Caenorhabditis elegans: one gene and its partner. The protein of the gene in region 2 interacts with the protein of the main gene of each other region in a biochemical or structural test. Each region holds a gene or a part of one and is shown on either strand. Other genes may lie near its edges.

Region 1 (8,143 bases), 4.1 Mb from region 2:
TATTAGCAAAATAAAGGTACACGTGATAAGCGCCAAAAAAAAGCCATGCACATGAATCTGAAGACGTGTCTTCCTACTGTCGAAAATTTAGCTACAAAATGCAATGCAGCCGACACCTCACGGGATCAGAACAATGTGTGGAGGCTGCCAAAACTGCGGAACACGGAAAGTGTCGGGCGCTACTACTTGACCGTTGCTACAGCACCCGACACCTCACGGGCTCAGATAGAAAATATGTGGCTACGGGAAAACGACTATTTTCGGGTAATTTTGAACACAAATAAAAATTGAGGTCACTGAATTAAAAATTTAAAACTTGGATTAATCATCATTGAATAAATTAACTGAACAAATGAACACCTAATTCATTTCTCATTCATTCTCACTTTCTTTCCAGCCTCCTTCCACACCTTATTAGTCATGCGAAAAGAACGAGAAGCACCGTGAAAATCGGAGAAGAGAGTGAACGTTTCGGCTAATCTATTCCTCAGTGTGGTGGCCAATTCTCTCTCTCTTTATAAATCAATTGCCATCATCAACATTTTGCCCATTTTATTAATAGGTACGATGCCTTCTGGCGGCGTCGTTTTCACTTTCGCATGGAAACACAGGCAGGAGATCGACCAACGTTTGAATGGAAATTGAGAGAGACAGAGACATAGACGGTGAAAGAAAAGGCGTGATGGTAGAGGTACAACTGGTGTCAATTAAAACTTTTCAATGGTAATAAACTACACGGGGAGGGGGTATCGAGGTGTCCGATCTTTAAAGAGTGAGAAGGAGGGATAATGGTAGAAGTTCGAAAAATATTTTTTACAAAGTAGAAATCCCGAAGATTGGGGAGCATCGGGTCCTACCGGCAGTTTTGAACGAAGGACATAAGACGAGGGGAGGCATTTCCGGGTATATGGAGGCGTTTTCAGACCCCGAGACATGTCGCCCCGCCCTCGTATGTTAACTTATTTTGCAGTGAAACAAAAAAATTATCAAAAATCTTTCCCTGACCAAGTGTAATATAATCGTTCAGACTACAGATGTTCTGATTAGAAATATGTGGTTTGGCGCCGTTCCTTAATTCGAGCACCTGCCTGTCAAGTGATTCGAATGGCAAAAAAATATCAAGGCTTAACGAAACGAGGGGCCTAAAAATTCCGGTTTAAAAATTAGAAAGAATTGTAATTTTGTGCAACGCTGAATTCAATACAACAAATGTGACAAATTGCTCATAATGCCGTCGGAAATGTGAGGGGAGGGCGAAGAGGCGAATGAGAAGCGTCTCCGTGACGCCTTGGCTGGGCGGAATTCCCACTGTAAACTTTTCGTTCACAAATTCAAAAAAATATTCACAATCTCTATGGGAATTATATTTGAAAGCCTGCCAGTTTTCCAGATACTTAAATTTTTAACTAAACTTACTAACTTTTTAACTTTTTAACTATTTTTAAATAAAATTCAACGACTTTTACTATATGCAAAACCTCACCTCGAAACATCAGGAAGACTTGGAAGTTTTTTGAAATTTTTCTTAGAAATATTCGAATCAGTCAGCGAATTCTTCATATTTGCAAAGAGGAATGAGCCCTGCTTTTGCGCGCGCGAGGAAGAGCCGCCTCTTTCCAGAAGAAAATGAAGGAATGAATGAAGGCAGGGAGCGATAAAAGAGGAGATAGAATTTGTGTTGGAAACTACATTTACAGGCGATTATTGTGTAGTATTAAGTACAAATCTCACAGCTTTGTAAGAGTTTTGGGGCTCTCGAGAAGGAGGAGGAGGAGGACTTATAAGCTTATGCAATTTGATCAAAAGTGCTAAACTTGGCTGAAATTTCAGAATCAAGCAGGTTTGTAGTTGTTTTGTAGAACTAATTTTTGCAAATATTAAAAATTTTAATTTGAAAAAGTTAGATCGTTTCGGATCAAAAAAAATTTCTCCGAAATTTGTTAGTAAGTCAAAAACTAATAATTAAAACTGAGAATTAAAAAAAATTACAGTAAACTTTTTGATTTACAACTATTATAAAACCGTAGTTTAAAAATTGCAAACTGTGACATCTCGGAGAAAAGCCAAAAAAAAAATTGCAAAAACTGTATGTTTTTACAGCTCCAACCATTTTGGCAATAAATAGGACAAGTATTTATTTTTACTGAAAAACTGGAAATTTGGTCATTCACAATAGGAAGTAATTTCTAAAACTACAGAAAGTGCTAAACAACACACAAAGCCAGCTAGCGGAGGATCGTTGCGAGTTGACCAGGTAGATCAAAAACAAAAAAAAATTGTACATACATCTCAAGAATCTGTAGATCACTGTATACAATCATAAAAGGTATGGAAAGCCTCTCCTAACGACTAATGAAAAAGGGAATCCCTGTGAGAGAGGCGAAGAACGATGAAGAATAGAAAAGACGGGTTTTTTACGAGTTGTTTCCATCATGGCCCGGCGTGTGTGTTGCCTCGGTTGGTTTGATTACGATGCCTCATTTTCCCGACCGCAAGGTCCTCCTAGTCTCCACCATACAGGTAAAGAAAACAGAAAACACTACCGAATTAGTACTTGTAATTAAAATAAAAATGTGTGTGTGTGGGGATAGATAGGGGAACGCGAGAACCTTATCTGGGGGAGGGTGGGGAAAGCGGGACTGAAGACTAACACAAGTGATACAGAGAGACAAAGATCGGAAAGATTCGGTGCGGATTTTTGATGACCAACATTTGATACGGTACTTTTGTGAGGAACGCTTTTTTTTGGAAAAAAATATCGTAGTTTTCTGAAAACTTCAGCACAAGGTTTGGCGAATTGGCAAAATTTTTTGCAAACTTTGAATTTTTCAAACAGAACCTTCACAATGTTTAAAAAAATTAAAACTGAAAATTTGTAGAAAAACCCTTTCTTGGTCAATTTCTTGATGTATGGAAATTCAGGAAAAATAGTTTTCTGCAACATTTGTATCACAACGAACAAAATAAAATTTTTGCACATTTGCTCTTAGGCTTGCGAATTTTTCTTTTAACTAAATCTAACAAGATCAAAAAGTTCCATAATTATTTCGTTCAAGTGAACAAATCTCTTGACACTTAAAAATCTCTAAAATCAACCTGTTTTCAAGAAACCATAAAATGTTCGTTTTCTGTAAATTGTCTACTTTCAAGTACAATCTATCTCATTTTTCCTCTTCTCACACACATTGAAATCGTACTTCGAAGAACAATCAGAAAACGTCTTGAAATTGGATAGGGTTAAGGGGGCAAGCACAAAAGGAGTCATTAAAGTTCCATTTTCAAAAAGTGGAGGAAAAAACTTCTGATGAGAACATCATGACGTGCAACTAAATTCTCCCTTCCCGGATATTTTCCTATCATTTTTCTTCGAAGAGAGGGTAAAGGGAGAAAAAGGCCAAGGGAACACTGATTGACTCTTTGAGCATTTTTACACTTTGTGTGTCTCGTTTAAAATGTTGTTACATTCAAAATTGTGAGAAATCGACGAGAGATAGGATTTGAAAAATTGTTCAATTGAAGCATAAGTTTCTACTGAAAAGTCGCTTAAAATTGCAAGTGGCTGAGGAAGTGATTTGATTTTTTTAAAATTTTTTTTAACCAAAAAAATACCGACCTCTACGTCTACTATAAAATATGCGTAAACTTACATGAGGTGAACACTAAAGGCCAGAGTTCAACTTAAAATAAAGGAAATCAGCAAACAGTAGGCAGGCAGGCAGGCATAAGGATATACCTACCAACAATTTAACAATTTACATTACTCCCTTTCTATTGTGACTAGACAACGGGGCCGCCTTACTCAAACGCCAATGCCAATAAACTACGTTAGCTTAGGTCTAACTGTTTTGTTTTAGAGTATGTAAGCTTCAAGGTATTCTAAAACAGCTGTTTTCAGAAAATGAATGTTTTGAAACTATTAAAGTGGGAGAAAAACAAAATTTTTAACAAAAATGTATTGAATCCTGATTAAAATTGCAAAATCAAACAGGTCTGAATCAAAAAAGAAATGATTGACTGTGAATCTAATTGTGAAATCGCTGGTATACCATTCTTGGGTACTCTTGATGACAAATACTCCCCCCACTCCTCCTTTTTATTGAAAAGAAAACACCTCTTCATTGAATGAGAAGGGTTCTCGATCTCAATTTTCATTGATTTTTTTCCTTGTTCCGCCTTTAGATTTCTATTACAATAATACATTGTGATTTTCAAAACATGTTCCAATTTCCAACTAATTAGGCCCTTTACACCAGCTTTTCAACTAATCAGGTTAAGCATAAATGGACAAAAAACATCAAAAAGTTTTCTCAAGGACCCCACAGGGTGTAAAGTTTAATGGGATCCATATGGTGGTCAATGGGGGGGGGCTTTCAAGGAAAATAAATGACCGTCTGCTGCAGGCACGACTTTTGAATATTTCTAGAAATTTCCTTAAGAACTTCAAAGTAATTCGAAATTGCAATATTTTAAACTACATACGTTTAGTGGGAAAATTGAAGAAAAAATTTGAAGAGAAAAAGAATCAAAAGCTCACTGTGAAACTGATCTTCCTTGTGCATCCAGACTCATTACACTGCGATCTCGCTGACCCTGAAATGATTTTTTTTGAATTTTAGGAGCAATTTGTTTAGAATTTTATAATCCTAGTAGAACTATAATAACTAGTAATATCAAAAATGAACATTTAAGAAATCACACAAAAGTTCAGAAAAAAGTCAATATCTTTACTTTTTCAGAGGAGAAATTTAAAAATTTTCAAACTCCATTTCAATTTGAAACTATAATTACATGCACTACTAATAGAGGTATAGCACACCCACCTGTTGTGTAACATCAATCGGTTGTTGCCCGTAACTTCGACTGTTACGTGTGAACGAGGCAAGAGCAGCCATGCTTCAACTACTCTAGACTGCTGCAAGTTTGGGAGAGAATTCCTAAAAATTTTTTGTACTTTTTAATACAATTTGTGGTAGGGGGTAATAAGAGAGTTGACGACGAGTAGAGGGTAATCGGATCAAATACATTTTGTTATCAATGGGAGAAACACCTCACCGAACGTGGGGACAAGTTGGAGCAGATAAGAAAAAGGGGCAAATGATGTTGGAAGAGTCCGTTTTTCTCCCCCTGTTTCTCTTTTACTCTCTAGGAGGAATCCACCAAATTTTTTTTTTGCAGAAACTTGTGTTGTGTTGCGGGTTTGTGGAAGAGCATATGGGAATTGGAGACATAGAGTACGGAGCAACAAACGTTTTTTGAATGGTACACCTAACGGGGTGGAGAACGATGATAAATTGATAGGCAGGCAGTGGATGCTTGGAACGCATGGAGCAAAACTTTTTAGTGAACTTGCTTTGAAAATACAATATAATATAAAAACAAAATAGCGTGAAACTTATTATTAGTGAACCGAAATACGTTAGATGCACAATGACAACAGTGATAAGAAAACGAGATAACTAGATATTTACGCACTTTTAAAGTTCTTCTCCCCATTTTTACGACTAACAATTGGCTTATCAAGAGTCACGAGAGGAGCATCAGCTGGCACCGACCAAAATGGTTTTTTTTCAACTTCCCCTTGTAAGGGAAATTTCTGAACTTTTCCAAAACTTTCTTCCCATAATCTTTGCGCATTCCAAATGTTTTCAAAGCATGCCTTATGAAAACTTAATGCTAATAGTTTTTGATGTCTGATATAAAATGCAAAAATATGGATATCATATGATCAGCGGCAGGAAATATTAAAAAGGGGAGTCTAGAAATAAACAGGCTGAAATTTAAAAAATAGAAGTTAGGGAAGGCATAGAGGATAGGGACCAAGAATGGATAAGCTCAAGCCTAAACCCAAGCCTAAACCCAAGCCCAAACCCAAGCCTAAACTCAAACTTAAACCCAAGTCTAAACTCAAAGTTAAGCCCAAGCCTAAACCTGAGGCTAAACCTGAGCCTAAACCTGAGCCTAAACCTGAACCTAAACCCAAGCCTAAACCCAAGCCTAAACCCAAGCCTAAACCCAAGCCTAAACCCAAGCTTAAACCCAAGCCTAAACCCAAACTTAAACCCAAGCCTAACCCCAAGCCTCAAGCCTAAATCCAACCCTATCTTGAACCTTAGCCTAACACCAATCATAAACAAAAGCTTAAGCCCATAGCAAATCTAAAATCCTATAGCAACCTAAACCCTAGCCTAAGATTAAACCTGAGAATTCTCTCTTATTGAAGCTTAATTGTGTACAAATAACTTATCTGGCATTGGATTCCTGATTGTGAGACGGTTAACGAAATGTGCAAAAAGTGAGAAGAATTGAAAGTAATAAAATAATTGAACAAAGGCAATTTATTTTTATTTCATACCACGTGGATGACCGTGTAAGTTTATTTTGGGTTTCACGCAAAGTTACTTTTTGAAAAATTTTCCAATTAGCATAGTATGTAGACTCGAGGAAAATTGGCATATTTGCTTGGCAAAAGCAAGCCTAAATGAAAACCAGAGCTTCTGCTAAAATTAACTAAATATGTGGTAGGCAAGCACAAAAAAACTAAACCCAAGCCTGAATCCAATCCTAAACACAAGCCTAAACCCAAGCCTTAACACAAGCCTAACAAAGCCTAAACCGGTTTTACCCTGCCTAAACCGGTTTAACCTTTCACGTAAGTGTTTAAAATTTTTTCTCCAATTTTCAAAATTGAGTTGGTCCGAGGTAAGTAGGCATATTTGCCTGCCAACGAATGACTCGTACCTACCCCCAGCGTACAACAAGGCAGGAATGTAGGCCGTATTTTTTATTAACACATGGATGACTGCGTAAGTTTATTTTATGTTTCACTTAAATAACCTTTAAAATGTGTTTCCTATTAGAAAAATGAAATTAACTCGAGGCAGGTAGGCATATTTGACTGTATCGAGCCTACGGCCTATAAATCACTAGACAAGAACGCCTGAAAACCTTAAATTCTATCACGTGTAAAACCAAAAACCAAAGAAAAAACAGCAGCCTGGTAATTAGAAATTCAAAGAAAAAAAGCAAATGGATGAGCGAGAAAGAAGAGAAAAGTGTGAAAGATTCATAGGGATATGTGATGAAGGGTGGTTCGGCGGGGCGAAGGCGTATTCCCTCAGAGTGAAAGAATGGTATAGAACAAGAAGAAGAAGAAAAAAGTGCATTCGGGGTCATAGTAAATTGGGCGTGTTTGAGCAGGGTGAGTGAGGGGAAGAGACAAGAGAAAAGGGGGTACAAAAATGACTGGTATCGACGATTATAATCGAATGAATGAGAGTGTTTGTATCTGATGGAATATCTAGGTAAAGACGGGCGGAACCAATGGCACGGCATTTACGGACGGGAAGGGCCATTCGGACGGTGCGTGATTTATTTATTAGCATGGTAAGAGAACACCGGAATGGGTGTCTTAGTGAAGACAGAAACATGTAGGTAATAGAAATTGGAATTGAAAGTTTTAAAATTATTTCACTCTTCACCGACAATTTTGAAGCCCGGGAGCTTAGTTGATCGCTCAAAAAATTTCTAAATTGCATAGCTTACAAAATGCTATTTGTTTAGATTTTTTTTTCAAATGTCAGATTTTAGATCTTAAAATATCATTATTTTGAGATTATAAAAAACGTTACAGCTATATGTTAGTAAGTTAAGTAAGAGTTTCCAAACATAATTCAAAAATTTTTTGACTTTTGATAAGTTTCGAAAGAAAACTTCCACATTTTGAAACGTCCACATTATTTCAGAGTTTAAAAACTATATTTGCATTTCCAGAAAGAAAGTTCCAAAAGTTATGCGAAAATTTCATATGAGTGAGTCACTTTTCCCATACTATAACATATTCAAAACCTAGGGAGTACAAATGGGAGAATTCAAAATTGTGGTGAGATCTAGACTGAGATCTTTTCACCTGACTCTTTCAGGTGAAAACGACTGTCTGCCTACTAAGCCTTTAAGGCAACCTATGCCTACCTCCTGCATACATGCGCGAAAACTGTAAAAGTGCACGAGAAATTTTTTGTTTACATAGAAAATGTAAACTGGATGTATACCAAGGCAGATGCGTAGGCAGGTATGCACGCCTAAACATTTTCCTAAATTTTTATAGTATCTGAATTTCAATATCAAACATTTTAAACATAAATAT
Region 2 (7,774 bases):
GACAATGTTTATTCATAACATTCGGCGAAAAGGAAGAAAAAACTGTTGAAAAGTAAAAAAAAAACAATAAAAACAAATAGTGGCAGCTGATACAGGATTACAATCGTAACTGAAACCGAGATCTATATGTTAGTCTTATAGAGTAAAAATCTAAAATTAATGCCGACACAAAAGATCAATTGTTGGCAGCAGAAGGAGCCAATTTTTCTTTGAGCTTCTCGGTAGTCGAAGTTAGCAGACTTTTCTGTTCGTCTTGTTGCATCTGAAATAACATGTATTTTTAAAGAACATCTCGAAACAAATACTTTTTGCAATGTCACTTTATAAACTTCTCCGTTTCCATCGACCGTTAAAACGGAGTATCCATCAAACCAACTCAAATTTTGCATTCGATAATCAAATCGAAGAAGGCGTGGATTCATAATAATTCGAGTAAATGACACATATTTGACTCTCCATCTACAACGAACCGTTCCTTCGTCAATGACTGGAGCTACTGATAACATTTCCATTTCCACGTGTGGCAAGAAGACCTAAAAGATTTTGAATCTTGGATAACGAAGACTTGGCCAATTTTCTTTTCAAAAACATTGTTCTAAAAAAAAGGTTGGATAAACCTGTCCCAATGTTCCAATCATTCCAAAATGGCTCATCAGCTGTTCAATTCCTCGCTTTTCAACTGAGAAAATTTGATCATCACAAACAACGTCTTTTCGATAAAAAGTATAATCCATTCGTCGGCGGAACATGAGCGGAACCTTCAAGTTGTTTCAGTTAACCCACAAAAAACTTTTAATTTACAGTTTCAGTGAGACGGGTCGTCACATGCTCCAATTGGTGAGGTGCTGGTTTTTCATGAGAAAAATCAATGCTAAAGGACCGAGTACACGCCGATAATCTAGAAGTTGCTGCTGTGAAACGACATGTGAGCAACATCTGAAAAGAGGCGAATGAGCAAGTTAGTAGATTGAACTGTTCAAGAACTACGTGAAAAGGAAACTTCGCGGCCAATTACCATTTGTTTTGTAGGACTCTTAGACGGTATTCAATGCAGATCTTTCATTTGATTCGAATATACTTGGAATCATGTCAAAAACATATAGGAATACAATCAAGCTGAAGATAGAGCCGCAAAAATACTCGGCAGTGAATAAATACTTACAAAAACGGGATCGATTGATAAATGATAAAAATGACAATTATAACACACGGTGGGAATAATAAATTAGTATGCAACAAATTTCAGCTTCACAAGCTACTCTGCAGTGTTCTCGGGGTTGACTGCAACGTGTGCTTCAACATTCTCATCACCACCTTCTTCTTCAATTGCTCCATCCTCTTCTTCTTCTTCACCCTCCGCTTCTTCTTCAACACCATCTTCTTCTTCTTCTCCCATATCTTCCTCTTCTTCATCCTCTCCTTCTTGCCCATCCGCACTTTCATCTTGATCAACCTTCAGTGAATCACTTATGTTCCGACGAGGAATCCTTTGTCCATTCTGAAAATTGTTCAAAAATCCAGTAGCCTCATAATGGTGTTTCTAATACCTCATCTACACCGCGCTCCTCATTCAGAAAGTCTTCGATATCGTCTTCTTCAACTTCCTGCATGTCGGGCATCACGTAGTACTGCAAAGGATTGACGTACAGATCGTCTTTGATCACTTCAGCAATCTCATCACTGTCTGGTAGTGCTGCGTACGTGAGCCATTCAAGAAACGTGTGAGCTGAATCTCCGTCTTCCGGCTTCTGGAAGAGTTACATTGCGAAAGTTTTAGAAAAAATTCGATTAAAACAATAGGGATTATAAAGATAAACTCACGAATGGCGGTTTCTTGTTCTCCTTCCACTCGATTTCGGTAATTTCGGTGCTCGGTGACTCAGATTGCAGATGATACGACTTTGTAATTACTTCGTTTGTGAAGTACTCATTCGGGTCAAATGTCATAATTATTTTGAATCCACTGCGAAGATCTTCAAATTCTTGCACTTCAAGATCTCGCAGAGCGGCTAACAAGTCCTCTTGTTCTTCCGGAATAGCAGTTGAAAGAAGATGATGATTGAGAAAAGCAGTCTGCCAGAAATTGTCGATTTTTGTTGTCAGCTTCTTTCTTTTTTCATAAATCGGAAGACGTTTCTGATTGAAAATCTGCTCGACTTTCAAAACTTCTTCGGCAGCGTTTTCACTCATCACATCTAGTTGGTGCTGAATGGCGTCTAGTTCGATTAGCTTTTCCTTCACGGGACCAGCTACTTCGGATCGGAGATTTGGGAACTCATCGGCATTTTTCATTCGCTTTGCAGCCGGCTCTTCGCTCATATTTTAACTGAAAAAATTGAAGATTAACGGCAAAGAGAGCTTGTTTAGTAGAACAACAAAAGGCAGGGCGAGTTTGTAAAGCAAGTGTTCAACAGAATAAGCGCAAACGCACTGAAAATGCGCAAATAGTGTTGACTGGCGCATATTTTGAATAGAGCCTAGACACTTTTGATTTAATCAAGTGATTGATCAAGCTTACCCACAATTAACAGTTTTATAAATATCGACAATTTATGACCTAGTCAAGAACGCGAAGCTTAAAATTTAAAAAAATAAATGTATTATTATCGGTTAAACGGTTGGGAAAAAACTAATTAACATGCATGCATATAAAGTCTTTAAAACCGTAATGTTCTCATATTGAGAACAAAGCTAACTTGAATTGCAATATTATTTTGCTTTTTCATGGTACGTACTTAGATAGTTTTCGTGTTGGAACATATAACCTGATTTTCAATAAATTTGAAAATTGAATCGATCAAAAAAATTTACTACATCCTGCAATGAGGATCAAGAAGGAAATTTCGGATAAAAATTTTAAATGAACAAAGAAACGAAAGAAAAATACGTACGGGCAGTATCGGAGCCATTGAGAAGAAAGAAAGATAGAAAAAAAGAATCACAATTATGATCCGTGGCAGGTGCAATTTATTTTGAGATTGGGGAAGGGATTAGTGAGACAGAAGGCAATCGGGAACTCGAGCGGTGAAAATTGGAATACATTCAATGATTCGATGAATTACAATATACATCACAAGATTCGATATTAATTTCGAGAATTTAAAATGGGAATGGGCGCTTTTGACGATTGGGCCAAGTTTCTATGGGACAAGAACACGTCGACTAAAACTTATTATATTCACAAATGCACGCATTATTAGTTAGTATGGGGGACACGAATATTGAAAGTGTTTAAAAATTTGACAAATGTAGAGAAGTTGTTCACCACAAATTGAGATGCTTGGTCATATTTTCGGCCAATTGATCGAATCCTGGCATTGGAGAGAATGGTCCGTTACATGACATCATTGGATCAGTTGCGACAGATTTCATCAGAAGAGATTGAGCAACAGCAGAATTTGCGAAATATGCAGCAGCGGCAGCTGCGGATGCTGCATTGAGTGACGAAGAACTGAGATCCTGAGAAGGCGTGGATCCAGCAGATGAATATCCAGAAACTCCTCCAGGAGTATTTTGCTTTCCGAGCATTCCGAACGAGCCAGCATTTGGAGCGGAACCCAAAACCATCGAATCGAGTGGACTAGCTGGCCGATGTGCCATATTCCAAGCGTCTAGAGCAAACATCGATGGATCCAATGGCCAGCGAGACGGTGGATAGGTCATCGCACCTAAAACAGAGGTCATTAATTGCAACTAGCTGCCAATTTTTACCTTCCGCGTCATGCAATTCCTTCGTTGGTAGCTCATATCTTGGACCACGAGTACTAACAGGAGTTGGTCCTAGTGGCAATTTAGCCGCTGGCTCATCTGGAGTTGATGGCCTGGCAAACATTTCTAAAGGATGCTGAATGGCAGAAAGCGGGGGAGCTGCAATGCGACCATTAGTCATGATGTGCTGCTCCATTTGATCACGAATGTCAGCCAATGCATGGCGTTGAGAAACCTGAAAATGTTTACAGTGAGCAAAAATACATGTTTTCTTCTGACTTCAAGAAGTTTATCAGCGCGAATGTATGCGTTTGGTCCATGATCGGGATGAATGAAAAGGCACCGTTTCCCGTATGGGCAGAGTCCTGTAGTCGTATATTTGTCACAGAGTTTCGTTTTATACTTATTGTTCTGCAGCGGCTCGACGCTAAAAATTGGAATTAACATAATTTGTTTGCTTCATTCTTACAATGTTGGACGAAGTTCCTCCTCTCCATGTGCAAACCGGCAGTTGTCTGCGAAAGAACAAGTCTTAGATTCGAGCCAAGCTTGGCAGATCACAGTCTTGTATGATTCTGGTTTCTGCATTCGGGCTAATCCGCGGCGTCTAGGATCAAACTGTTGAAATGGAGGTGCAACCTGGTTGTTCTGGGGAAAACTCTGAATCGCGCGAACTTGCATCGATTGAATATGTTGGTTGCTGAAATGTAGTAAATTGAAGATATTCAGGAAATTAGCCAACGCACAATGCAATATCTTCAAGCAACTGCTTTTTGATAGCAATCAAGTTAGCAGTTTGAGTAACCAAATCTCCAATCTGGGCATTCGGATTAGTTTGAGACAAGTCCTTAGCGTGATCGAGTGGTGAAACGGGCAAAGTTGGAACGCCAGCGAGGGAGCTCTCGAGATGATGCCTTTAATAACATAAAATTACTTTTTCATTTGAATTTTGTTAAACTCACTCATCGATCTTCTCGTTGTTTTCACCGTTAACGTTCATATTGATGCAGTTGAGTGGATGTGAATAGTGTAAGTAATCGGGTGCAGGGAATGCTTAACAATCAACACCGGAGATACTCGATTTCCGGAAGATGTTGCGAGCTGTAAGTTCTGAAAAAGAAAATCAAATGATCCTACTGAAAAACAAAAACACGTTACATAAAACAATACTTGAGTGCGAACAAAACAGATACGAATGGCATTTATGAGAAAATATCACATTTTGGCGCCGGTGCACAATAAAAAAGTTTAAAAAAAAGTTTTTAATATAAATATGTCAGAATTTCCGGCCGAAAAGTAATATTTGAAACAAGGAATACTCAAGAAAAGCCTGAAAAATGGTTCCTTCATATTACGCGGGGGCATAAACTACGGTCGCACTGTTTTCACGTGTGCGATTTAAAATGATGTGCGTCTTTTAGGAGTACTGTAGGCCAAAAGTTTTCACGCCTATAACTGCTTGTAGTGAACTGATATGTTATTATAATCAAACAATTTATGCACTAATTTAAGTTAAAAAAAAACATATTTATTTTTTACAATCAAAAAATTATAGCGACAAACCCGTGTGAAAAATCAGGAATCTTTAAAAAAAATGAATGGTTGAAAATATCAATTAGAAACTTCAAGTTCATCTTCGATTGAAAAGGTACAACCTTCGAACATCAATATACGTCCAAATATACGAATAGATGAAGAATATTTCAAATGCACCAAATACCAGCAATGCAACTCTGAAATTGATAAAATAGTATACCCTAGGTTTCCTTTTTTTTTCAAAATCCCACCTTAATAAAATAATATCAACAATTTTATAACTCCGATCTTGTCCATTAACCTCTTCTCTAATTTCATCAGGAACTGTGATTGTCGATCCGATTACCGCTCCTGTAATCTCTCTTTTTCCAATTAAAAACTGTCAAATTTGGTCGTCCGGTTCACAATCTCTCAATATTTGCGAAACTGATTAAAACCACACCGAAAAAAAAACTTCGCTCACCAGCATATGCAAAAAACAGAATCGTATTCAAAACCATATATGGTAGTAAAAATTTGGGTCTCGCACGGAAAACTGCCATAATAAACATTAAACTGAAGGTGAGGATCATGGTGATAAGTATGGAGCAGATTACTGAAAAATCCATATTTCTAAATAATTCAGATTAAATTTATTTAACTGTACCAATAAATTCAACATAATTCTTCGGTGTTTTTTGAATCAATCTTATTAATCCATAAACGTAAAATGCAAATAAGAAAATTGCATTGAAACTGATTCCAAATATTGCAACTGAAAACATATTTTTTAATATAAATTTTTCATCGACTCCCTTAACATTCTTGTTACCCTGTTTTTTATAAATAAATAATCCATCGAAAAAAATAGCCTTGTTATTTATTTTGTGATCAGTATTTTTAGGTTTGATAACACTTGTAAAACAAACAAAACAAAAATGTAAACAATTTTATAATGATTCTCATGTTATTTTTGTTTTCAATTTTTCTATTATTAAGAGATAAGCTTTAATGTGTCAAAAATCAAATAAAAAAGAGAGAAATAATGCCTGCCTGCCTTCACCTCGCGCGCCTTCTGTACACGCAAACGTTGTTTCTTTCATTTGTTAATTTAACTTTCATCAAATAAGATGATAAAATAAAGATAATTGTGTAAATTAACACTGTGAGAACAAAATAAGTACATAAGATATGAAAAAGTAGGCAGGCATAGGTAGGCGTGTGGGAACCTAGAAAATAATCCCACTTTCTCTCGAATTAATTAATAAAAACTTCTCAAACTAACTTTTATGAACACCAAAATATCCACAAAGCTTCGTTGGTTTAGGCGCTGTTGGCATTGAAAAATAATTTTGATCCGTTGATAATTTATCAGAAATTGTAGACATTGTGATGAAAGTGTTGGAAACTTCTGCAAATTTCAGGAATTGAATAAAAAAAATAAATAGGAGGCTACAAATCACTGTATTTGTTTCAATGATTATGATACGAACCTATTTAAGTGAATTTTTTTGAACTTTTGCGGAAAAGGGAAATGGTCTGATAATGCATATTTTTGTGGTGATAATTTTGAAGAAACTTTGATCGGTAACATTTTTTGCATAGATGAAAGTCGAAGAACAAGAACAATTCTCAATATAAATTTAAGTGGGAAATCTTTAAAGCACAGGAAACCTGGGAGCAAAAAAGTGAAGAAATGGCAATATATGCATATTTTGATAATTTCATGTATACACTATGATAGACAATTTAAATTTGAATTAGAAAAGTTCGTGACTATAGTTACTGACTTTTCTATACTGCGCTAAAGTTTCCAAGTGGACTCTCCACGATTTCGCTCTACTTTTCTGCTTCTTACTAATATAACTGATCAGAAAGTCTTTAAAAAATAATTCAAACTTGTATTCAAACTCTTTCTCGTTTTACAGATTTTTTTATAATTTTGAGACAATCAAAGGATAAAGACAAACCTTTCTTTTTAAGATCCCGTTTTGTTTTCATAATTTCAGATAGAATTGTTTACGAAAACAGGATGAAGATTATCTGAAAAATTACATTATATTCAAAAAAAGAAAATTAACTAAGTAAGACAAAGTATTTTAGTAACCAAGAAAAACTTTTTCACGAACAAAACAAATGGCAGCTGTCTGAGATAATCGGTGAAACAAAATCTCTCAAATATTGGCTAATCTTAAAATTACTACTGGAAAGTATGTCAAACTACTTTTTCCAAATGAAACCTCTTTCAGTCAAAAAAGGAGGAGCCACATGTCCATTTTTACCATTAAATGTTTGCGTATCGAAAACTTAATCGGCCCGAACCGAGACACTATGAGGTCAACATGTGATGATGAGAGAGAGAGAGTATGGATCAAGGTATTATATAGAAAAAATACTGAAAGAATGCGGGGAAAATGAGTCATGATAAATACTAAAATAAGTTAAATATCGTTTTGAAAATATCAAGAGTTCTAGAGGAATAAAGTAAATTGAAAAATTCATAGTATAGTTTTCAAAAGATAAATTCCTAACATTGAAAAAACTTAAATTT

What was found.
Region 1: of the proteins of oma-1 (region 2) and mbk-2, one has a biochemical effect on the other in vitro, tested with the Caenorhabditis elegans proteins (3 studies listed by BioGRID).

The regions. Positions count from the first base shown.
Region 1 is NC_003282.8:13,005,907-13,014,049, reverse strand, and holds the start of mbk-2 (Dual specificity tyrosine-phosphorylation-regulated kinase mbk-2), read right to left. Parts: upstream 4,893-8,143; coding exon 4,821-4,892; intron 4,591-4,820; coding exon 4,535-4,590; intron 4,414-4,534; exon of another isoform or gene 4,393-4,413; intron 1-4,392. UniProt on the Caenorhabditis elegans protein: Required for oocyte-to-zygote transition in which it phosphorylates oocyte proteins, including mei-1, oma-1, oma-2, mex-5, and mex-6, modifying their activity and/or stability following meiosis.
Region 2 is NC_003282.8:8,886,020-8,893,793, reverse strand, and holds oma-1 (CCCH-type zinc finger protein oma-1), read right to left. Parts: upstream 4,819-7,774; 5' UTR 4,709-4,818; coding exon 4,671-4,708; intron 4,623-4,670; coding exon 4,455-4,622; intron 4,409-4,454; coding exon 4,178-4,408; intron 4,136-4,177; coding exon 3,988-4,135; intron 3,944-3,987; coding exon 3,712-3,943; intron 3,669-3,711; coding exon 3,262-3,668; 3' UTR 2,795-3,261; downstream 1-2,794. Other genes in the region: C27B7.2 (Phospholipid scramblase), read right to left, coding at 176-262, 306-533, 618-758, 802-936; spr-2 (Suppressor of presenilin-2), read right to left, coding at 1,256-1,498, 1,548-1,748, 1,822-2,319; C09G9.5 (MARVEL domain-containing protein), read right to left, coding at 5,339-5,441, 5,496-5,595, 5,708-5,839, 5,891-5,998, 6,509-6,634, 7,194-7,224. UniProt on the Caenorhabditis elegans protein: Zinc-finger RNA-binding protein that binds to 5'-UA[AU]-3' motifs in the 3'-UTR of maternal mRNAs to suppress translation in oocytes and embryos.